Linked DNA regions of Neodiprion lecontei. The protein of the gene in region 1 interacts with the protein of each later gene in a pairwise test. Links are inferred from orthologs where the notes say so. Each region holds a gene or a part of one and is shown in the gene's direction. Other genes may lie near its edges. The genes, in order: protein giant-like and REPTOR-binding partner.

What was found.
Region 2: the proteins of protein giant-like (region 1) and REPTOR-binding partner interact in a two-hybrid assay, tested with the Drosophila melanogaster proteins (2 studies listed by BioGRID, with this or other methods). The link is inferred for Neodiprion lecontei from reciprocal best matches to the Drosophila melanogaster genes gt and REPTOR-BP.

Annotation. Positions count from the first base shown.
Region 1 is NC_060263.1:21,612,234-21,624,314, reverse strand, and holds protein giant-like, read left to right. Parts: upstream 1-7,278; coding exon 7,279-8,271; 3' UTR 8,272-8,944; downstream 8,945-12,081. Other genes in the region: zinc finger protein 511, read right to left, coding at 9,584-10,033, 10,129-10,330, 10,461-10,600. UniProt on the Drosophila melanogaster protein: Represses the expression of both the krueppel and knirps segmentation gap genes. Binds, in vitro, to the krueppel regulatory elements CD1 and CD2. It is required in the early embryo for the development of portions of the head and abdomen.
Region 2 is NC_060260.1:12,366,287-12,379,082, forward strand, and holds the start of REPTOR-binding partner, read left to right. Parts: upstream 1-6,840; 5' UTR 6,841-6,995; coding exon 6,996-7,034; intron 7,035-7,135; exon of another isoform or gene 7,136-7,442; intron 7,443-7,760; exon of another isoform or gene 7,761-7,909; intron 7,910-10,371; exon of another isoform or gene 10,372-10,525; intron 10,526-12,796. UniProt on the Drosophila melanogaster protein: Transcriptional regulator that acts in the TORC1 signaling pathway to regulate energy homeostasis and promote survival during nutrient deprivation.

The DNA of each region.
Region 1 (12,081 bases):
ACCGCAACTCATTTTTATGCATTTGGTATAAATTGGAGACGAGGGTTGAAAATCGAAAGCGGAAACGAAACTGAATTGACGCTTCTGTGCGTAGGTATAGCATAAAATTGTTCAACTTACTATGTATCCTGACGAAGCGAGGACACCGTTAGCTGGAATCGGGCCATGACGAGGTGAGGGCTGATCTTGGCTTTGGAGCAGATGCAAATGACGGCCGCATTGATGGTGCATTCATCTCGTATTCGTCCTGAGAAGAGGGGTAGAAGTGCGTGTAACGGGTTATGGTCAGCCGCACTAGCGCAGGGTAGAAATGTGGGTTATGTGGCCAAAAGAGCAGAAATCTGTATACATGGGAAAAAGATGAGGACCTCAATGGGGACGCCCGAGTTTTTCTATACCTCTGTGAGCCAGCCAGCTTTTACACGAGTCCGGTCGGAGAACTAAATTTGGCGTGATCGTGGCAAGCGACGTGATAAAAAGAATATCTTTATAACTTACTATTCCCTCCTTTCAGCACTTCCCGTAACTACCTGCGTATTTTATATATATATATATATATATATATATATATATAATACTCATATGTTTGCACATGCATTGCCGGGGTGGCGACAGAACGAAAAAACCGGGAATACCGGGAAAAGTCAGGGAATTACGATGGACCATAGGGAAAAATGTGCTTTTTTTTATAAATCGTTTTCAGAGTTCAGCTACGCTTCGTTAATTGAGCTAAGCTAACTTTTGGAAATGGTATTGTTCAATTTCTAATTATTTGCGTGGACGAAAGCAATACTATGTGTTCGTAGGTTCAGATTTATCTATTCGTGGTGTACAACTTCTGCAGCTTTTGGTCATAAAAGCTACCAAAGATTATCCAAGTTTCGTGGGAAAATGTATGGGAATTCTGATTTTTTTTACGGGAAAAGTCAGGGAATTTTATTCAAACAAAATTGTCACCGCCCTGACTGCGCTACAATTTTAGAATAATGTTATAATTGAATAACATATTATCGATACGGAGTTCGTCCGTGAATTAGAGATAATTCGGGGAAATTTTTTTTCCACAACTCTGCCGTGCGTGCTTATACGTGTCACTTATAATTGGGCGATTATAGATTTGCGTACGGCATACCTGTGTATAAATGTTTTCACAGTACCGTTTTCAATTGATAGTCCAGTCATTCTGTCTGAAAAAGAGACAAAAAAAATCAAAATGATGCCATTGGGTCAATTTAAATAAATCGTTTGTTCGTTAGGTAGTAATGAGATTTTCTTTTTCTATTACAACATCGTTCTTTCACATAATTCTCCTTCGAGGCAAAAAATGCCTTCGGGCATTCCACGCCAACTGTACCAACGTTGGGCTCTCACTATTTCTGATTTTGTTGGAAAATATTTTATGCGATTCTACCAGCTCCAAAATAGTACCCACAAGTTTTAACAAATTTTTTTAAAGTGTAAATTTGTATTACTCATGATTTTTAAAAACCAACCCGTGCTATGCCGTAATTTAAAAAACTGAAAGGATCTTCAAAAATCTTGTGTTGGATATAAAAATTTCTGCAGTGAGAACTTATTCGCCGCACACTGCTGGTTTCTACGTTGAAGTAGACTGCAAAGTTCGGTATGAGTGTAACATTTTCGAGGAAACGAAGATCCGCACAAAAAGGAGACTGAGGACAGGGAATCTATTTTTGACAATCGCCGGCCCATTGTGGGTCTGGGCTTAAAACTTTTGAAACGTCGAAATCTAGGGAAAGCGCAACTTTTCATTTCCGGGGTGATTATAATAAGTACCCTTGTCTTTTTTTTTTCTTCGAAAAAACAGCAGGAATATAGAAATGTGTAGGGTGGCAGTCCTGGTAGGTTCGGAATAAGAATACAAACTAAACTCAAAACTGCGTATAATCAGTGAGCTAAAATTTAAATTTAACCACACGAAATTATCACTCATCGACTCTCGAACAAGCCATTTTACACAATTCTCTAAGCACTGCTGTGTATTTTAGCGAACGTTCATTAAAATTTGTAACAAAAAATGCCAGAATATTGAATCGTAAGAATAACACTTTACCGAAACACCCTCAATATCGTCTTGCATGATTAATCGATCTTTTTCTGTATCCGCAAAGTTTATTTCACTATGAGGAGCTATTTATGAAGTCGATTACATTTAAATATACATACGTAAAAACAAACTCTGTACTTGGCGTGACATAACTTTATATGGTATGATGAGTTACGCTAAGCGTGGCCAATTATTGTTACTAACGAGCAATGGAAATCCCACGTAATTAGGTAGTTGGTTGCGCATATCGTTCGTCATCCTCACTCTCCTTCTTTGTGGAAACAAAACTGCAGCATTACGACTATTCTTTAACCTAAGAACCGATCGATTTCGATCATAACAGAGCAATAAATAAGGATTGATGCCGTTGGAGGGTTCGACGAAAGTCAAAATTTGTGGACGCTGCAGTAGCATGTAGACGCACGAGTTGTCGATATATATGTGTGAGTGTGTCTGTGTGCGTGTGTGTGTGTGTGTGAGGATTCGAACCTCGCATATGGGTTACAGAGAATATGTCGAAACCATTAATATCCGGTGACAGCATAGCGGGATTCCTAATTTCACAAAGAGATTTCGAAAATTTCTCTTACTCCAGAGAGTTTAACCCCTTCGACTAAATTTATGACGCTTTACGCAAATTCGGTTAGTCGTGCGCCGAAGAACTCCATAATACCTGAAATACTGTAACCATAAATCTGGGAGACAAAGTATTGAAATATTACAGAAGTAGCCAAAGGGTTTGCGCCGTAAGAGCTTCGGCACTGGGTTTCTTGTGGCCGCTGCTGTTGCAGGAGTTTGTACTTACTGAATTTCCGATCACCTACAACTAAACTTAACCCTCGGTAAGATATTAACAAAATTTTCAACTTAACCCGTATACTTGGTAGACTTTCATGCCTGAAACTTTCTCGTTTCACAGGCAGAATTAACCTTCGTATAACTAACTGGATTTTCAAAAATCGTGCATGGCTTTACACCGTGGGACGTCTCCTTAGGATTACCCGGAGTCCTGCCGTTACATTTGCGTGTACCGTTTTAAATCTAATTCGCTTATGTCAGCAAGAGTTGCACGGCACGAATCCGCTGGTGCTTAAATTCTAAAAACATCCCCATTCTTAGACATTCCAAGTTCGAGTACTTTGCGCCATTATTTGTGAAAATAAAGATAATCCAATGTTTAGTTTAGCCTATTTTCATGCCTACGCACAGCAGAAATTGTCCCCACAGCGTTGATACTGAACGCAGCTAACTCTGGTATGTACTTGAGGTTTCGATCGATCAAGCTTCATCGAAAAGTATTCCGATAATAGGTATATAGGTCTGTTCAATATTCAAACATAATATCGCAATTTAATTAGGTTCTGTTCATCCGTCATGAGAACTAGTATTATCGAGATCCAACAATGACCGCAATTCAAATATTATGATCAAGTTTAATCGATAGACGATCTTCCACTTTGAGATTATTCATCACGATAATCACTTTTGCTAAAAGTAATACAAATTTGATACGCCTTGATGAATCACGGTAAAATCATACTGCAAGTAAACATCGTCTCATTTGCGAATTCCTCCGCTGGTTGTAGAACGGGATGAATACAAAATTCACATATCGATGCAATATATCGAACATACGTTTTAATATTTCCTTGGCGAGCCTAAGTTCACCAAAATATGAAAAAATTATAGCGTATTGCAAAGAAAACAAATGGTAAATCCGGTTGACATTGATGAGACAGCCTGTAAAAACTTTCCGCTTGAATGCGTTTCCGGTAAAATCTGGTTTTTTTTCTATTGACGTTTAAATAACTCGAAAGCTACTAATTCGATCGGTTCCGAATTTTCATCAGTTCCAAATTGAAAAAAGCCCCGTCGATTGAGATCAACATCGTAAAAATTCATTCATCGATTTTGCAATATCGGTGGATACAAAATTGATCACACGCACACACAGCTCGTACCTAGACCTCTGAGCGAGCGTCCGTTCAGCGGAGGTGTTTTTCTAAACCTTAAAACGACGAGATCTAGTGAAAACTCAACTTTTCAGTTTCGGGGTCATGGTGATAACTTGGCGGAAAAAGGGGGAGCGGAATGTTTACAAGTAAACAGGTCTTGTACCTCAATTAACGATGCTCATCGTTTACTTGTACGTCAAGTTAACTATGTTAAACTCTGTTGAACTCGTAAATCTGTTTTTAACGTAATTCATTTCGTGGATAATATGTCATAAGTATCTGATCGGAGAAAGTAGATTGTTCACGTATTACTCAAATGGAAAATATTCGAACGCATTGCGGCACCTGTTAATCGTGATACGAGGAGTTAGACTTGATCTAGGTTAATTGTTTTATGCAGAGCAAAACCATCTGGGAGCTCAAAAATAAAAAAACAACACACTTTGTGCAGCTTTTCTTGTTTGTACATAAAAAGTTTCAAAAATGTTGGTGAACTTGATTCTATGTGTGAAATGTGACCTTCAACATTTACCAGGACGTTAGATACAAACCACCTTATTTCGAATTTTGGCGAAAGCCGACGTAACGAGGCTACGCGTACGCGTGCCGAGGGTCAGCCTCCCACCACCTCCACCTGAGACCCCAATTCGACGGTCACTCGAAAGTTCCCCCACTCCTGGGCCTGTCCACCCTCTCCAGCAGACCCTGCAAGGGTGGTTGCGACGTATAAAAGCGAAAGTACACCCTTTGGAGTCACAACTGATTTCCTTGGTCGTCGAATGACCATCGAAAATTTTCATCGCTTCCTGCGAAATCTTCGCGTCCTCGGTTATTCGGATATTTCTCGTGTTGGACAAACATACTTGGTGATCAGTGTTGTGATACGTATCAGTGATAACTGTGCAACCTTGGATTTCTCTTGTTAGGTAAGAATGAGTATAAGGAATTCAGTGCATCGGTTATTGATAAATAAAATTAATAATAGATACGATAAAGGATACGATATTTTGTTTTTTTTTTCTCTCTACTCGCGCGTATTAACTGCAGCGTGCAAATTTTTCCAAACACGAAATCCCGCGAGTTGTGTTCCGTCGAGATAAAGTGTTTGATAAATTATTCAAATTGGCTTTAGATTGGATTGATTGAGTCATAGTGATAATTATGCCAACTCTATCTGCGCCAAGTACTGCGTTGCCGGATGATTGAGCTATTCAGGATCTGCATTTCGTAGGTCGTATCACACTATTTCGAACCGCGCTTTAGGAGAATTGATTCTTCGATGACTGACAGTTGATTTGAATTCACGTTTCACTAAATGTCATCAACTTTCGTAACTGAACATACGGCCGACAGTATGGACCATAAAAATTCTCTGTTATTATTAATTTAAAGTTTGAATAGCAAGGTGAAGAGTTAGGCGTTTGATGTTGAACGTGGTGAAATAGTGAAAGCAATTTTCCAAATAGCCACGGTAAAACACGGTTCAAATAGTGATTCGAAGAAGAAAAATCGAAATAATTAGCCCAATTGACTCTTGATAACTGAGATTTTCGGCTTTCAAATTTGTCCGGAGCGATCGAAATTATATTATCTTACTTGTACGGAAGACAGATTTAAAGTGTGTTTTTACTGAGATTGCAGTTAAGAATTGTATTTTTTTTTTAATTCAACAACATCAAGGCAATGTTATTCTCAAGTTCAGATCGACGACAAAAAATGTGTTCTAAAAGAAAGTCATTAAAAATATAAATATTTTCTTCAACGTGAGATCTACTAAACTAGTTACATCGTTTTCTGCACGTAATATAATTAACATTTCTGCGCTACTTCCGTCAACAACTTTACTTTGTAGTTTTTCTCATCACTAGTGCTTAAACGTCACATTTTTGTTTTCAAAAGTCTACTTTAAAGCACTAGTGCTAATAAAAACTACAAAGTAGTCAAGTTGTTGGAGGTGGCGCAGAAGGGCTTGTTACATTGCACTGTAGTTTTTACGAGCACTAGGGCTTAGGAGTTGACTTTTTTGTTTTTGAAAGTCGACTTTTAAGCATTAATGCTAATCAAACCTATACGATATTTTCGTTTTCGACAAGAGGTAGAACAGCAAATACGATTTGTGGCTTGTTCGCATATAGGGCGTTAAAGGGCATATACCTTAGGGTGGGCCAAAAAAATCGACTATTTTTTTTTTCACTTTGTACTCCGAAAACTTGGTTGGTAGAGACCTCAAAAACATTCTCTCCAAGTATGAGCTCTTAATTTAAATAGGAAGGTCCTCCGCCTCGCAGTTTTCTATTTTGTTCTTATGGCGAGGAAGAAAAATACATATCTCGGTATCTACTATTTATAAAAAAAAAATGTATATCATATTTTCGTAGGAAATTGAATTCTCTACAAAAAAGGTCTCTTACAATTTTTTTGTATACCTCACTGTTCAGAAGATATTCACCGTCAAACTTCAATGCACACTATTTTTAACAGTGCCGTTAGTTGCACAAGCCAAACAGACGAAGCGATAGGATTTAAAACAAAAATCCTCTCGAGCAAAACATTTTATGTATAATTTTTGAAAAAAGTTTTAAAATGTTCTCTAAAAAAACGCCATAAAAATAATTAGGAGCATGATTGGGATTTCAAAATATTGAACAAAAAAATTTGTAAAAATACTAAAAAAATGGTAAATTACGAGAAGTTTTTGAAACAGAGAACTTCTATAATAGTTACTTCGACGACAGAAACTGAAATTTGTACAAATTTTCCCAAAACTCACGAATTAAATTGAAATTGTTTGAATTATTAACAAAAAACTGTTAAAAATAGTGTGCATTGAAATTTGACGGTGAATATCTTCTGAACAGTAAGGTATACAAAAAAAATTGTAAGAGACCTTTTTTGTAGAGAATTCAATTTCCTACGAAAATGTGATACTCATTTTTTTTTTATAAATAGTAGATACTGAAATATGTATTTTTCTTCCTCACCATGAGAAAAAAATAGAAAACTGCGAGACGGAGAACCTTCCTATTAAAATTAAGAGCTCATACTTGGAGAGAATGTTTTTGAGGTCTCTAACAACCAAGTTTTCGGAGTACAAAGTGAAAAAAAAAAATAGTCGATTTTTTTGGCCCACCCTAATATACCTACTCACCTTCTATTCGTGCGACACTTTAGACTCGCCAAAAAATTGCTATTTCACGCGCTCTTGCGACGAAAATTATTATTTCCTCATCACTTCCAGGCATAACGGGCGTATCAATGGACACAACGATCCCCCTCGATGTGGAAAGTATTCAGCCGCTGGATTACACAGCAACGCAGAGCACGAACGAACCGAAAACAGAATCGGACTCAGCCTACGAAGTACCGGTGTTGGACTTATCCTGTAGACGTGACTCATCTCAGAAGTCACTCTCACACTCGTTACAAAATACGGTGCACGAGTCAGAGGAGGAAAAGTGCAGTTCTAAAATTTACGTAGACGATGAAAGGAAAAGCCCGTCGGAGGGTCGCTCGTACATGGTGACACCTCCGTCGGAGGGCGACTCGCCGACAAAAGCTCGGTATGAACCGATATATAACCAGATAAACTCAACTACGAGCGATTTGCCGATGCCGATATACCCGGTCCTCGGTCTAAACGCAGCAGTGACTCTCGCGAGCACGCAAAGTGCCCTGCAAACCAATTTGCACAATGCGATAAGCCAGGGTTATCACATTTCGAGACGTCGGTCAATGAGCGCCGCTGAATTGAAGCACTTGGATAACCAGATGTACGGTTTGTCCGTAACGCACGCCGCGCCGGTCACGCCGGCTCAGAGTCCGCAGGAATTAGGTAAGAAACTAGCGAGACCATTCAAAGCGTATCCGAAGGATCCGCTAACTCTGAACGCCAGAAAGGCAGAGCTGGCCGTCGATCCGACAGCGAACGAGGCGTATAGCGAGTTCAGGAAGCGGATGCTGGAATCCGTTAAAAAGACGAACGAGGGGACGAACATTAAAATGAGGAGGACAACCAAAAGCCCGGGTCTACCCACCAGCACCATGGATGACAAGGACGCTGCATACTGGGAAAGAAGAAGGAAGAATAACGAAGCTGCGAAGAGGTCCAGAGACGCTAGGAGAGCGAAGGAGGATGAAATCGCCATCCGCGCTGCCTTTCTGGAGCAGGAAAACATTAAACTTAAGGTCGAATTGGTCGCGCTTAGGAATGAAACTGCGAAACTCAGGTGCATGGTATACTCGAGTTAAAAAATATCCGACCGATATTTTTTATCCAAGATTTATGTAGGAGATCTGCATTTGAGAAGGCAATGCTGGCATGCCTGACGTCTGGCAGGATTCATTTGATAATTAGTAAAATTGGTTTCTATCGCTTTTGTTCACCCATGTTTTCACCTCTGCTCTAAAGTAAAGAAAGTTGAGCTACAGACTTTTGAACCTTAACGACGCTCTGAAATAATCTCTTTGGAACCATAGAAATAATGTAGATACGATATGTTCACCACATTTTTTGCAAACGAATGTAATAAATTTTTTCCTCTCGCTATTACATTTCTGACAATTCGTCATCAATTTGCATTTAAAGTACCATATTTATAGAATACTCTTACCGAACTCCGAGCACAGTTTTCATAACTATAGCTCTCTGTGGCAACTTCCGTTTTGAGTGCACTTGAAGACGATGAACATTACACAAATCCTGAACTTTACCTAGTTATACTACAAGAATCATAAATTGTTGTAAGAGAAGCATATTATTCACAAGTTACTGCAGACACTGTGGTCTTTTCAAATTACTCGCTTCAGAGATTTACAGACAGTCCTGACTAGTAATAAAATTTTCAGTACCACATGTTAGAGTAACTTATAAAGTAATGCGTCTTGTGTTCGATGTAATCAATAAATACAATGGAAATTGGCTTAACATGTACACGATATCGAAATATTTTTATTCAACACTGTGTATCCATTTGTTCACAAAATGCTTCACCTCACAATTTATTGTCAAATTTGATTGTAGGAATTGACACTTCAAGTATAAATGTATGTTAATAAATTCTTAAAAGCGATAAAATCGTAAGAATTAAAAAATAATCGCCTCTACATAATAATTGACAGATGACACACAAGTTCGTCACTGGCATAGTCAGTATATTGTTAAGTATAAATTTAAGAATCGATACAGTGTAAATATAAATTATAGAATTGGCCTAAAAGAATGAAGTGAGTCATATTGCTGTGCAAGAGTTCAAAAATTCTCTGTTATAAAGATAAATACAGTTGCCATATATAATATGCTATATTTATAATAAAGATACAAACATTTTTTGTCAACTAGAACAGATATACAATTTATTCGGTCATTTTCCTTCAATAAAATTTCCATTACGTATTTAATCGTATGATAACGATAAAAACGAATGACAAGTTTTGCTGATTCATAGACTATAGTTGAAACCGATAGTTCATTTTACGAAAAATATATCAATAGGTAAGAATTCTTTACAATTCTCTGTCCGCACCACCTTGAAGAGTAAAAATAAAGTTTTGGAGATTTTAATCATTGTGGTAGAGTATCAGCCAATTCCATCATGCATCCGTTATTTAATACATCCCTGTGTGAATTACTCTGCTTTGAAAGCACTTTTGAATAGGACGACACCTGCCTAGGAACAAAGGATAAAGAGGATGCCTTATTTGGTGACGCAACATTTACCATGGAACTTAAAGTCCCTATTATGGGAACATTTTTAGACGATATTTCTTTATCACTGGGACGAAATGTTCTACACTTTTGATTCTTATTTAAACGAGGAATGTTTTTCTGCAACTTGGTGGATCGCGGTTCTTTATCAACTTCCATTTGATCCTCAGAATCCCCTCTGCCCTTCCGCCAATTTCCTTCGTCAAAACGAAAGTGTTTGGGATATTTGTGCACTGTTGTACAGTGTTCTCGTCTATCCGCCAGAGTTTTGAACTTCATTTCGCACTCGGATACGTAACATTGATACTGAAATAATAATTATGTACTTACAACTCTCAAAATGCATCATAATAATCATCTCACTATCAAATTTAAGGGGCACTTAGTTACAGGTAGCCTACCATCGGTTGCCGATCAGCCAAAACTCTGAAAAAACTGTCATGTGTTTCTTCTATGTGTATATCCAAAAGCCTGGCACTCGGTCTACACTTTTTGCACTCCAAGCAAATGTATCTATGCGATGCGTTATAATGCACCTCGAAATCAACAAGCGTCTGGAACGTAGCTGTGCACCCAGGTACATTGCACGTGAATTCTTTTACACTGAAATTAAATCTGTATCATCGAATGAACCAAGGGGTGAACAAAGGTGAAAAATCATAGATGTAAGGAATCTACCAAACCATATTACAATAACAAATAATAAGTCATCGTTATAAAATTTTAAACTTACGCTTCGTGGCACAATTCCTCGTCGTCGATAATTGTAACACCTTTTCTAACGAAAATTTTACACGTTTTATAAGTGTTTTCGAAGAACTTATCATGAGGTGCTCTCTGCCCGATTCCAATTTGCGTCAAAAAAGTTTCCATGGTTAAATCAATCGACTTCCGTGGCGTTTGGATAGCTTAGATATAGTTACTTTGTACTTTGTAGACCGGCAAGTGCCAATAACAATAATAAAACCGTACATAACCTCACATTTGTTCACAATTATTTTAGATTATATGCCCTTGGATCCTTAGCTAATTGCTGCTGAACTATATAACCGTAACCTACGATGAATCGAATCAAGGTCAAAATATTAAATTCGTCAGTGGTAGCACTAGCCGGTATCCATTTCCTTCAGTCCCTTTAATCCTTAAAGCATATACTTTCTAAGGTAGCTTCGCGTGTACGCAAGCCTCGTGCAACCAAGTTCGTTACTACACGCCGGTAAAAGAAGTTCTTCATACCCAATAACTATCGCGTGCAAACGTTGGCAACATACCGTCGTCATTGTGAAATTGAAATGTTGAGAAAATCTCGCAAAAGAAATATAACATGTACGCCGAAATTATACAACGGGAAAATATATGTCAGTCAAATACATGAACGTGTGTCGTTTAAATTTATCTGAATAGATGGAATCTTTTTTAGGCGACATGCAGTAGCATCTCTAAGATGCTCAATTTATTTGATCAAAGTTTTTGACAAAGTCAACTTTAAATTAAGCTGCAAATATTTTTTTAAACTTTGAACTACTTCATTTTTAGTTGCAATCGTTTCAGGAATGTGCCTATGAAGATATTGTTTTTTTTATTTGTTGACCACTTTTAAAATTATGAATTGAAAAAATTCAATATCCTAAGTATTGAAAATATACGAAAAATTCTGAAATACTTTTCTCTTTGCTATATGCACGTTGAAGATATGTAGAAGGTCGATCCTATTTTCTCGGTTTTTTCCAAATTTTGGAAGCGGTAATTGGGTTTTAATTGCGAAAAATTACGCAAGTGCTTGAATAAATATAAAAATGAATAATGAAAATGAATCTATCATGAGGCTCGTTGCAAATTAACTGGAATGAAGAATAAAAGTCTTATAGATTTACTTTAAATTTTGATAAGCTGTTAACATTGTGTTGCAGCAATACAAAGTTTTGGAAATGTGACGTCAACTAGCTAAAAAATAATTATTTCACCTTATGCATAATATTGACGTACTTGTCGAAACATATTTTTCTTCTCGATTGTAAATGCTAAATATTGACTATTGTCAATTCATGGTTCTTCAAAGTGTTAAAGAATACGGGATAAATGTTGTTCTCACAATGCAAATTTTGAAATGTTCAGAATTACATAAACGACATTATTGAAAAATCAACGAATGTTTTTCGGTAACTGATTTTCAAGGGGAATTGTCTGTCAATTCATTAAATCATGTTTCCGACGCAACATTATCCGTAAAGTCAATTTTTATCCTTTCGTGAAAGATACTCATAGTGTTTAGAGAGATAGCGATAGATACTGGATCATTAACGTGAGATCCGCGAATTAATTAATCACTGCAAGAATGCGTTTTAAATCTATGA
Region 2 (12,796 bases), on another chromosome or scaffold:
GGTTGTAAAGGCTAGAGTACAGTGTATTGAGAGAAAAAAACGAGAATACATTTAAGTACTTAGGAGTTCATAATTGCGGTGCAATAATTAAGGATTAGGAGAAATATGGATTTTTAAATGCATTTGGGATTTTTGGGATTTGTCACGTCCGGTTGTAATTTTCTGTTTAATTTTTGTGAGGCGAAGCCGCCACAACTGAATTTCAAACAATTCCAAGATCGCGAAATGACGGTTTTTACTCAGCACGAATCGTTACGATAACGTTACTAACTTCAATACGATGTTGAGCAACTGTGAGCTTGAAAGGCTGTGCGGTGTGGGAATATAGTTTTCAACTCCCGTATGCATGTACAATGTACATACATGACCGCTCGAAAGATTGAGATTATATTAAAATTTGAATCACTTGTGACGTATTCGTGTAAATATGACCAAACAATTGATCTCAAGGAAAAACGTAAAGTGTGGTGCTGTGGATAAAAAAGTGTTATATTTTGCTTATAATGCAACGAACGTATGCAGGAACATCAAGAACGACGACATGGAGAAGAAAGAAAAAATTGAAGTAGTCTTGCAATTCTGAGGATGAATCGAGCTGTGATGAAACTACAACAATTACGGCAGATCGCCAACGGATAACCTTCGCCTATGTATGATTTTTGGGAACTTCGATTGTTTTCTTTTATTTCTCCACCCGTTCTTGAATTCATTTTTATAGGGTTACAATATAAAAGGGACACTACTCGTCGCAGGTCTAACAAACTTAGCCTGATAGTTGAAAAAAAAATAACAAATAGCAAACAGATGTACAAATAAAAATATATAACGATGAGTAAGGAGAAAATAGTATGTAAAATAAAATTAAGACGAGGAAGGTTGTTTAAGTCAGATATAGAGATATATATAGAAGACGGTGACGATGTTGAAAATGGATAAAAAAAATTAAATTTGAAATTTCATCATATAGCAACGGCAGAAAACAGATATCCAGAATGTCGAAGGGTCATTATTCAGAATCGTACAATTCGTACAAAAATCAGTATCCCGAAAGCAAGGGACAACTTACCGCCAGCAAAAACAACTTGCCACCAGAATTTCACATTCTGAGTATCCAACTAATCTAATTTGACTTATAATATTTTTTATACATATACAGAATCGAGTAAATTCTTTACTCAATACTTAATAAAGAAGAAAGTACGCAATGCAAATGGACAACTTTGAGATATTAAAGCTGTTGGGTTAGACCTTTAGAGTGTGGCCAAAGATGTGTCTGTTTTTATTTGTTGACTTACAAACTGCTCACGTCGCCAGCAACAAGCTGATCAACTCACATTCAGATAAGAGTACGAGAATCTCGAATTTTGAGCAGGTGCATCGGGCGGATCTTTTTATCTGCAATATTTTTATCTTATTAAAAGATTCAATACGACTTATGGTATCATAAACTTATATTTCTTGGCTTCTAATATGATATGAGTTATTGACTCTTCTGATATATTGTGATTCTTCATTCTGACTCTTTTGATATACTGCAATTCTAGATCCTGAGCCCTCTATGAGATTACTGCTCGGAGTTTTAACCGTTCTCATTCTTGATCCTTCGCATTTATAAATTCGAATAGATGAAAATTCTACTTTACGATCCATCCAAAGGTTATTTGTTTGTGAATAGAAAGTTTTCGTCTCTTGAGCACCCGATGTAAGAATGTATGTTATTTATTTGTGAGTAAGAATTTCTTCTCTGCATGCACGATGTAAGGAGACTGTAGTGTGTAGATGTTTATGTTTACCCTTTTCGAATCCTTGCTTCCGATGAAAAGCCCGTAAGACCAGCAATGCCGTCTAATAAATGAGATGCGGATGTGCAAATCATTAATCTACGAGAGAATTTTGTCGAAAGAATGTAAATTTGAAAACTGGTGAATTCGAAAAATTAACGACGGAGCCAGTTATTTATTTGTGTTTGCGAGCGATCGCATTTGCCTCATTCTGCTAATGGCCTTTCGGAATTTTCACCAGTTGTGTATTCTAAATTCTACAACTTTAAATTTCGATACTTTTATATTCTATTTCCATTATTTCTGGCTTAATGAAGATTCACCACTTTGTTCTTTCGCGATTGTGAATTATCGATATATTTATGTCCGGAATTCTGATCATTCTGATTTTTGGTTTTACTGATTTTTTACCCGCACCGAGGCTTCCTGGTGGCGATGATTCACACGCGAGGTTCCCATCCTGAACCCACCAGGTTGACGTGACGTGGTTCGCTCTTCCTTATGATGGGCTTGTTGCACGCTGCAGTCCTTCGACCAAGTGAGGGCATCACTTGCGGTATCGTAGAATTTAAGAAGGAATAGCGGACCGTTGTAGCTGGTTCAGCTCCAGGCTGATAAGAGTCGTCGACGGGAGGCTTCGTTGTGGATTTGAAGCACAGTCCTGTACGCCATCGGCGACGCGTCCAGGCAGCAGTGGCGATATTCGATGGGTTGGCTCCTGGCCGAGAAGTCTGGATAATTGGAGGTCTTCGTTGTGCTTCACGCACGACCCGTACTCAATTTGAGTAGACCTCCATCTGGAGTCGAAATGGCGGTATTCTGCCCTCTGTAGCTGACTACATTGCTGTTGATCCGCTCCGTGACCTCTGCGTTGCGATATCAGGTTACCCCGAAGCGATGTCCTTCAAGTTTGTTCTCGTAGCGCGGTACAAAATTAGAAAATAGACAAAAATTAGCTCGGTAAATGAATCTTTTCTTTAGCTAGTCGTTCTATTTGGAGCATTGGCCTCACGATCAGACGTGTCTTCGTTGTTTATGATTCATTTATTTTGTGATGTAAGAAAATTTACATTACCCTTTATCAGATAAGCACATGAAATCGGACGAAGAAAAGATCATAGAACTCCCAAAAAGGAGACTGAATTTCAACTTATTCGTAAACAAATGAATGATATAAATTTACACGATCGTCAAAATAAAACGGTTTGTTTATTAGAAGTGAAATTTTTTGTGGATATGAAATATTATTTATTGAATTTTTAACAACATGAGAATAGACAAAGCCTTTTGTGTGGATATGAAGATTGCGCGAATCCATTCCAATAGCTTCCTGGAGCAAACTGGGCGAGAACAAAATAGAGGTAAATTTGTCCGCTGATAATAGAAGTTGACCAAAGTTTAAGAAATACAACACATTTGGGTAACGTTTATAAGCACGTGTTTTAGCGATTCTGTTATAAAAAGGTCGACAATAAAGATTGCGCAACTTTCAGGCGTCTATTAGTTCTCTCACGGCTTGATATTATTCAAAGAGGATCTAAAATTTGTTCCCATTACACTCTCAATCGGATATCTGAATTGAATGGCGATATCTTCGTCCTCCGATTCTGCGGGAATCTCGGTGAGCGGTTTTCGAAAACAGTTTGCCAACTCTTCGTCGCTGAGTGTTTTGTCATCGATAATTTTGATTTCCGTCATGTGTTCCAGCTGCATGAACACGGATTACTGGCTGTTAAGAAATTATCAACCATATCAGAAAATATCGAAATTATAGACATCCAACGATAGACATAAGTTTTCAAATTTACACGCACATTTTTCGCATTTCTTTATCAACCCAGTAATAGATACGTGGACGCCAGGAACGAGAGCTGGGTATATCGATGCGATTATTTGCCATTGTGCGCCGCTTATAAAACAGCAGGTTCTTTGTCCTATAGTTATCGTAATGAACAGCACGAGTATCCTAGTTGCAACAGCTAGATACATTTCTCAATTTTTCATCTTTATTATCTTTAAGTATTCAGTCTGCGTATTACTTTGGATGCTCTGATATGCTGTAGCGTATTTTATTTTGATTTTTTCTGGTATCTTCGGAAAAGGTCTATCCGCGTTATTGAAAAGTCCGTGGCAAATGATGTGCGTGTTGTCCTTTGAACAGACAAATCATAGTCATCGAAACCCTGCTCAATTTTGTTGAATCACTGATTGTTCGCAACCGCTTTGATGCTGACGAACGCGATTGTTTGATAGAAATGTTCAAAAACTGCGGTGAACCATGATACATTTTTTGGTTTATAAGTGATTATTTGTAATGGTTTTTACCTCGTTATATTTTACGAGGTGAGCAATCATAGAAATTTAGTCCGCCCATAGTAAGACTGCGTTGATGATTACAAATTTGAATAAACTGAAACTCCGTTTCCGGCAAACGTTTGTTTACTCGTGATTGAAATCACATATCCTACGATATGCGTGAAAAGTAAATATTTTCAATAAAACGGTCGAAAATGGCTTAAGGGATCGTCTCAGTGTGACACTCCGAAAAATCACTGATTTTCGCGAATTTTTTTTTTAATGTTCACATAAACTAATCGGTCCGGTTTTTTTTTCATAAATAAATACGTTTATGAAGAATACAAAATGATTTTTTTAAAGTTTATTTATTGAGTGCATCATTGTTGTATAAATTATTGTAATTTCACGTGAAAAAAAAAGGTGCTGCACGGTTTCCACGATGACGGCCGCAATTTTGATCTGAAAAAAAAATTTCAAAAAGATTATTGATCTGTAGGAAAGTCGCTATCGCGCTATGGAGGGTTTTTTTTTTTTTCAAATTTGACAAAATGGCGGCGGTTTGAACAAAAAGTGTCGAATGTGGCCCTTTTTTTCGACAGTTTTTCGTCAAAAAAATAGGAAGTTTTCAAAAAAAAAAAGCTTCCATAGCGCGATAAAGAATGACGTTTAAAATGTTCTCCCGAAATTGGAACTAGATATCTTTAAAACTCTTCCTTTGAGAGTGGAAACCGTTTTGAAAAACACCATTCTGAGAAAAACGCGTTTAAAGATTGAAGTTGGAAAAGTTTATATAAATCGTTTACTTACGATCAATCGGCGATGCCAGGTCTTGATTTTTTTCTTGGGGGTTTCTCTCGTACGTCTATCCGTGGTGGATGTCAAAAACGAACTGAAATGCTTGGACAGTTTATTCTGCAAGGTTATAGAACCTAAGCACCTTAGTACTCGCGCAGGTAGAAAACCCGTTCCCTTTCTACAAGAAACGCTGTAGCGACCGTAATAATTTGAATTTCGATTTAAAAATTTGAGAGAATGTTTAGAACAGTGTATACTATACGATAATGCAAAAAAAAAAAAACAATTTTTTGAAAATTTCACACTGAGACGATCCCTTAAAACTGGAAGAAGGTTTACGCAGTTTTTGGATAAAATATAAACTGTGTCCCGTTCTATCATATCTGATTCTTGAACACAGAATGCGAAGTCTCAGGTGACTAAAGTTATTCTATTTTGCTACAAAATTATCAGGTACCGCATTTTGCCCGGCGAACCCGTCTCGAGGAGCAAGAATTCTTGGCTTCCGCCATTAGATTTTTATCTTATCACAGTTTCGAAGTTATAGCGTATTCTCCTCATACTGAACAACCTCTTCTAGAATTGCGGATTGTGTCAGCGCTGGAACTTTGCGTGCCATTTCACCGTTCAGTTTATACTATTTTCTCAATCTCTACAGTTTTTTCCAACCCGTTCAGATTCGTCTTGCGATGAAAAGTTGCCGAATGAGGCGCGCGAGTGCGTTCTCTCCTAAAAGGTTAATGTGAAGATCGAATCTCCAAGTTCTTGAAATATATCGAGCACATTGTTGGCATTTTATACATTCACTGATTGGTCGGTGTGTGATATGTCAGTTTGACAGTTGGCTCAAAGAATATAACCGCATTTTTGAAATCGCCATGCAAATCATTGCGAACATTTCATTGATCAGCGAAAAATATCCACGAATCGCTTGAAATTTCATTCACTTGAGTGTCCCGAAATTCCGGGTTATCAGACGTTTTGTTCGTCGATAAATTGAGTATTGATGTCGAAAGTAATGTAAAATTTTGAGGATTCGTTTCCACATTGAAACGCAAAGCAAAAATAAGTTCACGTTAATCTCTGATCACTATTATACGTGTATGAATGTAACAGATGTGAATATAACCGTGTTTTGTCACCCTCGCGGAAAAAAAAACCCTCGACTTGGGTGTAAATTCGTACCCTCAACTTTTTTCTTACGGGGATTTAGCATTATCTATGAGTTTAGGGTACGAATTCATACCTAAGTTTAGGGGTTTTCCCGTGATGGCATCGTCGTTGCGCTGTACTGTCTGTGGTGTCAGTTTGATAGTTGACGCGTCGTTGTGCTTAAATGCATGTTGAAAGTAATGACAGGTCAATCATCATGCCTATAAAAAGTGAACGAAAGCTGACAAGCTGTATGACAGAATGGACGTGAACGCTGCACCTAATGTGTACTTGAATAATCGCAAATGCTTCGTAGATCTTTAGAATATAAAAGAACCTAGTACATTTCTTTGTTCGTGCTCGCAACAACTTTTCCGATTATAGTTTTCCGATTTAAGTTGCTTGTAGTCCACCATGGTAGCGCTAGCGGCTGGAGAGCTAACGACAAGATACCTGAAAGACCGAGGGCGGAATGTACGTTGCAAAAGAAACAGTTATGCCTAAAACGCGGTTGCGAAGCAGCTGTCGGTAATATCGACGGCGCGTCTACCGATCGACCGCAAGGCGGTCTCGCAACGATGTTTCTCACTGCTACAAGTCCGTTATTATGAGATCTAAATAGCAAACACTCTAGGGAATGGTGTCACCCTGCATCAAACGTGGGAAGAAAGTAAGAGAGACAAAGACGGATGGATATTTATCGACGCTTGATGACACGGGAGCCACGTGATCAATGCGCGTCATGGAATAAAGTAGTAAGCATTCTTGTCAACCGCCAGCAGCGCTGCATGACGTAACGTATTCGACTGAAAGACCGAGAACCAGCTGCATGACCTTGCGGTGTTTGTAAACATACACACGTTGTCTCTCCAGTGTCTGAAGGAACCAGAGCAATAGGCTGTTGACAAAAAGTGATAAAGTTTTATCTTGCGACAAATAACTAATACTTTTGGACCTGCGATTTGAAAAATGGAAGTTGAACGTATGTGCACCGTCGAAAACGAGTTGGTGAGTAGTTAGAGTTAAACATCGTGCTGACAGCAGGTCAGCATGTATTGCAAAAAGTTGCGAAAAATCAGCAGGAGAAAAAAAAAGACCACAAACCGGAACAAAAATAACTCCTAATTTAATCAATGACGACAGTTGTCCTTCGGTACAATTCGTTTCTTAAAAAACAGGTTAATCGAACTCGCGCAAACTTATTTTTCTGTATTTTCGTATCGAGCAAATCGGTGTAGACAAAGGGCGTGTGTCTGTCACTTCGTACGTCAGGTAAGGGGTGACGCGCGGCGGAGGGAAAATGCAGGGGGGTGATGTTTTTCGTCGGTTGGCTCCATAGATCCGTCTGGCTCCCTCCTCCCTCTCTCCCGCCCCTTCCTCCTTGCGCATTCTAGCACCTGTCGTCCACTTGCCAAACTATAAAATTTACATTTTTGCCGATAGTTGTCGCTGGCGGACCGCTTCGTTATTTCTGTATTCTGTATAAGTTAGTAACTTTGTCGTAGCGAAACGTGGAGAAAAAAATGACTGTTTTCTTGTTCTTTCTATGATTTTGAAAGAAATAGAATTGCAAGATACGAGTAGATTTCGTTTTATTACGGTTTACTGAATTTCAAACAGTTTGAAATTGCGAGGTATCGGTTTTTCCTCCGCACGAATCGTTACGGTACCGTTGCTAACTTCAACGTGATTTTAGGTGAGAGTGTCACGTGGTTTGGTATGCTCATTACTTACTCATCGGACGATGATGCTCGCGGCGCTTCATTCCTTTCCAAGTTATTATTTGTCAAGTTCGTGACAGATACAGGCGTAAAATACCGAATCGATAGCTATGAGCGTGTTGTACAGGAATTATATGTTATGACCGTCAGAATGCCGAACATTCTGACGATTCCTTCATTCGCACAACAACAGGTTTACTCTGATTGATGACAAATTACATTGTTTATGAGTTCCGTTAGATCTAACTTGCAATTAAATATTTCAGCTCCTCTTGAAACTCAGAGCTAAAGTAATAGACGAACGAGTGATTCGAGTGCACGGTATTGTATGAACTGAAAATATTAATTCAAACCATTTGAAACTAAATATTATTTCGTTCTACCCATAGACGCATGTTACTATTCTAATTATAGAACGAGAACAGATAAGACTCGGGTTTCTTTATCTGCGTATAACATTTTTGTAGAAAGGCGGTCAGCTTTAAAATAGTGTTGGAATAATGGGATCGTTGACTTCTGACATCAAGAAGTGTTGATAATTATTACATTCTATTTACCATCATATGATTTTTTATGTCGATAGGAATTTTGGGTTTATTTTCTCATTTCATAAAAAGGATTGAAACCCACATGTAGTTTTAGATTTTTCAAAATCTGAAGGTACAGTTTATAATGAAATCAGAACACGAATTTTCAGTATCGTACTCGATGAATGTGGCTATGAATAAAACTGCGTAAAATAGAATGAAACAATAATGGAGACGACTCAATATAGGCCTCGTAGAGATTGCCGATAGTCACTGATAATCTGCCGAACAGCTCGTGTCCGTACATTATGTATGTCATGCAGGTCTATCGATTTTGATGCATTCATCTTGCTCAAATGCATGCAACTGCAACGCAATTTTGTACGTGACGCGCGTAGCCAAAGAACAGGATACGACGCTATATGTCAGTGTGAATTGGGTACTATGGTGATACTTTTAAAAATAAATTTTATGGTAATTTAGAAGTTCGATTTCTCGAATTTTCAGTATTCAGTAACAGTACGTTAGCTTCATTGTGTCATGAATTATAGTCACGTTCGATGTGTATTGAAAGAGAAGGAAGTATAAAGTTAATAAATATGATTGCATCAAACTTGGCGAACTACTACAAATGAATATTTTTTTTATATCTAATCGTTTTTGAGTAAAAATGTGTTGGTAATAATGAATTTTGTCTGATAATAAACGTTTTCCAATCTCAAATGTTAGTCAATTTTTAAATTAAAAATATCCTTCGAAGAATTCTTTTTGAAATACGCCTCAACGCAGTCCAAATTATTGTTAATCTAATTAAAATGTTTCTATCTGTTATGAATTGTTAGCAAATTTACTGAATGCGATCAAATTTGAATTAATGCTCCGACATTAGAACAATTATCGGAATCTTTGTCTCATAAATGCGCAGTTCAATCACGAAAGTGTTGATGAGATTGATAAAAATTAATTATTTTCAAATAAATAGACAACCTTATTGATTGATTAGTTAAAAATCAGACTTGAAAATAATTCTTGGGTAATTTTTTTCAATTTAATATGAATGCGATTAATATTGTAACAACGGGGAAAATTAAGAAAGGACTAAGAGAATCAAAGAGTTCTCTGTGCGATTTAAGCGAACGCCGAGCCAAAGAGTTCTCTGTGCGATTTAAGCGAACGCCGAGCCAAAGAAGTCTCACGAACAAGGAATATTTTAGAAAGAAAATAGATGTATTTGGACACGAAGTTCTCTTTTTAAAGTCTAGAGATTGACTGCTTTTTACAATAATGTCGGTTGACGCAGCAACCTTATTCTTTTTAAAGACATAAGAGGTTTATAAACGTCTTTTATCTATGATGACTACTAGATCATTTAAAAGGGGACAAAACGGGTGATTTCACCCTTTTTAACAATATACTATTGACCAAAAAATTAGTGTCTACTACCTCGCTTTACTATTTTGATTTAACATCGTTGCGAAAAAACTATAAATCCTGAAAAATTTGTATTCCCCTAAATTAGCATAAAAGTAAATTTTAGCGGGTTTATTTGAAAACACCCAAAAAAGGTTCTTCACATAGTTTAACCCATTAATTCTTATACACCATAGTGTACAACCTCGATATTCGTTTTTTACGATTTTCTCGAAATTACACCGTCTATTAAATAACCGTCAAGCATATGAAATCGGGGGTAACATTTTTTAGAATTATTCTCGCTTTGCGAGGAAAACAAAAATTACGAAGAGAGAAAAGAAAAAACAAACTCAATATCAGAAACACGTTCAAAACATCTCAATATCGTCCAAACAGTGTTTCTTTACTCAAATAAAGACATTCTATGCTAATATTGTAACTTTAAAGTGAACGGGGCTAATCAAAGCGACAAGTTTTTCCAGAGCAGCCGTTGCCCGGCTGCCAAAATGCATCTGCGCTTGCACACGTAAAATACATTCGAAAAAGAATAGCAGGAATCGTTACAAGATAAAGCAGATTATCGAGCGCCGCGTCGGTTAGTTTCCCTGGATTCGGTAGAAAATTCGAACGCCGTTCGAATCGCTTCCCGCTTTCCTCGCGGGCGGCGTCGTGGCACGGCGGTTATTGCGTGAACACGCGTGTCTACACGCGCGCATTTCGACGTTAGAGCGCGCGACGGTCGCAACCGTTTCTGCCGGCTTCCGTCAACGGTGGTTCTCGCTCTAGCCTTTCGTTTCAACTGCGCAGTTGGCGAGCCTCGGTACGACGCGGAGCATTGGTAAGTCTTTTCTTTTTACCGCACAACTCGTAACTTAGAGCGGCGGCGTTCGTGATGCAGCAGGGGGTAACCCTGAGGGTGACGGGCGCCCCCGAGGGTGGCTTCGATTCTCAACCGAATCGTTACGCTCCTGCGATCGTGCAGCGCCCATCTCGAGGGCACCGGCCCCTTAACTGACGCTGTCAATAACCCTCGCCCTCCTCAGAGCTTTTCTTTTTGCTTTTTTCTTCTTTGCTTTTCTTTCACTTTGCGAGCGATAAATCCGCGGGCAATTGCCTCTCGACGTTTGCGAGTCTCTGACTCGGCCTAAAACTGGGTCGGAGACGAGTTTCATTTATGGTTTGTGTTATTCCTTAGCAGGCTAAATCCCCTGCTCTCTGCGTAGATCGTGAGACGCACTGGCTTGGACAAATCCGTTTACGGTATCTACGCGCTGCTTAAATCCGCCCCACCGCGACGTCCCTGACCTGATTTAAAATTTATTCTATAATCGCTCGTTCAACGCAGCACCGACAGCGGACGCGATAGATGTCGGTATGCAGTTTTTCGTTGCATAATAGGTTCATCCAGGTGGTAGAAAGAAGAGCGCACAACGATATTGAGTAAATAATAACACTTGTCGAGTACTCCATATAGGTAATAACAAAGTACTGAATTTCTTTCGTATTTCTCTAAACAAATTTTTATTGGAGTTATAACAAGAACGGTGATCGAATGGAATAAATTTTTTTTTTCATTTGAATGAATGTGGCTTCACTTGATGAACAGAACCCCTTTTTCCTGGATCAAATGACATTTTTTAGAATCAAGAAAAAAAAAAAAAGAAAATTCCCTTGCTATATTTGGTAAATTCAACAAATTCATTTTCCGTACGTTTATCTTAAATGCGTAATGACTTTAGTTATTTTACGAGTAAAATTTCCCCATAGTGTGGCCTCTTTTTGTACAACCACCTCAGCTTTAATTTGGGATGGTTACCAAAAGAAATTTGTCGGTCGGTTGACATTGATTTTCTTATCTCATCAACCGTTTTGATAACAACTGCGACATGTTTGTAGGTTTACAGTTTTCGTATTACGTCCAACGTGCAATAAGCATTCGGTTTCTCGAATCACAGCCCTCAGTTATTTTTTATTTACCGTTAACGTTTTTCAAACCATTGAATGTGAAAAAAACATTTTATACTTCACTTCCTACCGTTGCATACCAAAAAGCAAATCTTATTTTCACTACGGATAAAATTATACTTGTCGAGTATTGTATAATGATGTATAACATATTACAAGTACATGCACCGCTTATTTTACTATTCGTTATGTTTGTTGTTATCGTAGCCGGTCACGTTCCGTAACGTAGCTGAGCTATGTGCGGCACTTTACGTGTGTACAGCTTGAGTTAGGTGCTAGTATACCTACATTATCCATACATGTACGTGTATGGACAGCGTTGAAGTCAGTAACGTTAAGATAACGAAACATGAAGAAAAAATCATTGCCGTGTAATTTCTGAATGACCTTCAAGAAGTTAGCTTTCAAAATTATGAGTGTAATTTGTTTATAATGGCTTACCAAATTTCGGACGATCTCAAGGCGCGAAGTTACGATTTTTGCCAAACATGCATTGTTGGAGTAACGTGACTAACTTCGTCTTCACTATCAATGGTGAATAACCTACGCAAATACCGGATAAACGTGTGTCTGCTATGAGCCGGGTGTTCGTTAACATGATTATTATCATTTTTAATGCGTTATTCTTTCCAATTCTTTCTTTGTACAACTCCGTATTGATTTTTCGGTCTACTTATAGGAAGCCAGATTTTCTCTTGATGAGGTCAGTTTTGAATTTATAGAGTACGAACAGTAAAATTCGCAGGAAATAATTAAAAATCACAATCGGACGTTGACAAATGTACGGGATTTGTCAACCCTATTTTGAATTTATAACATGCAGTGCAATACAAATTGGTCTACCTACCTGATCGTGGTTGACTATGAATTTTGTTCTCAAACGAATTAATTATCGAAATTTCGTCCGCAGTGTATTTTTCAACATCAATGGCTCAATATTTTATTATTCGGTTGATGTAGTGAGATGCGGCACTTGGTAATTCGGAATCTCCGTCACACACGGCCAATGCGTTAATTTTTGGACGATATAAAAGTATGATTGTTCCCATAAGAATTGGACAATTTTATAAAACATATACGCATTGTGATTGGCAAAAGATAAGCGAAAACACGGTTAAACCTTCCTGTGGATGATAATGATTTT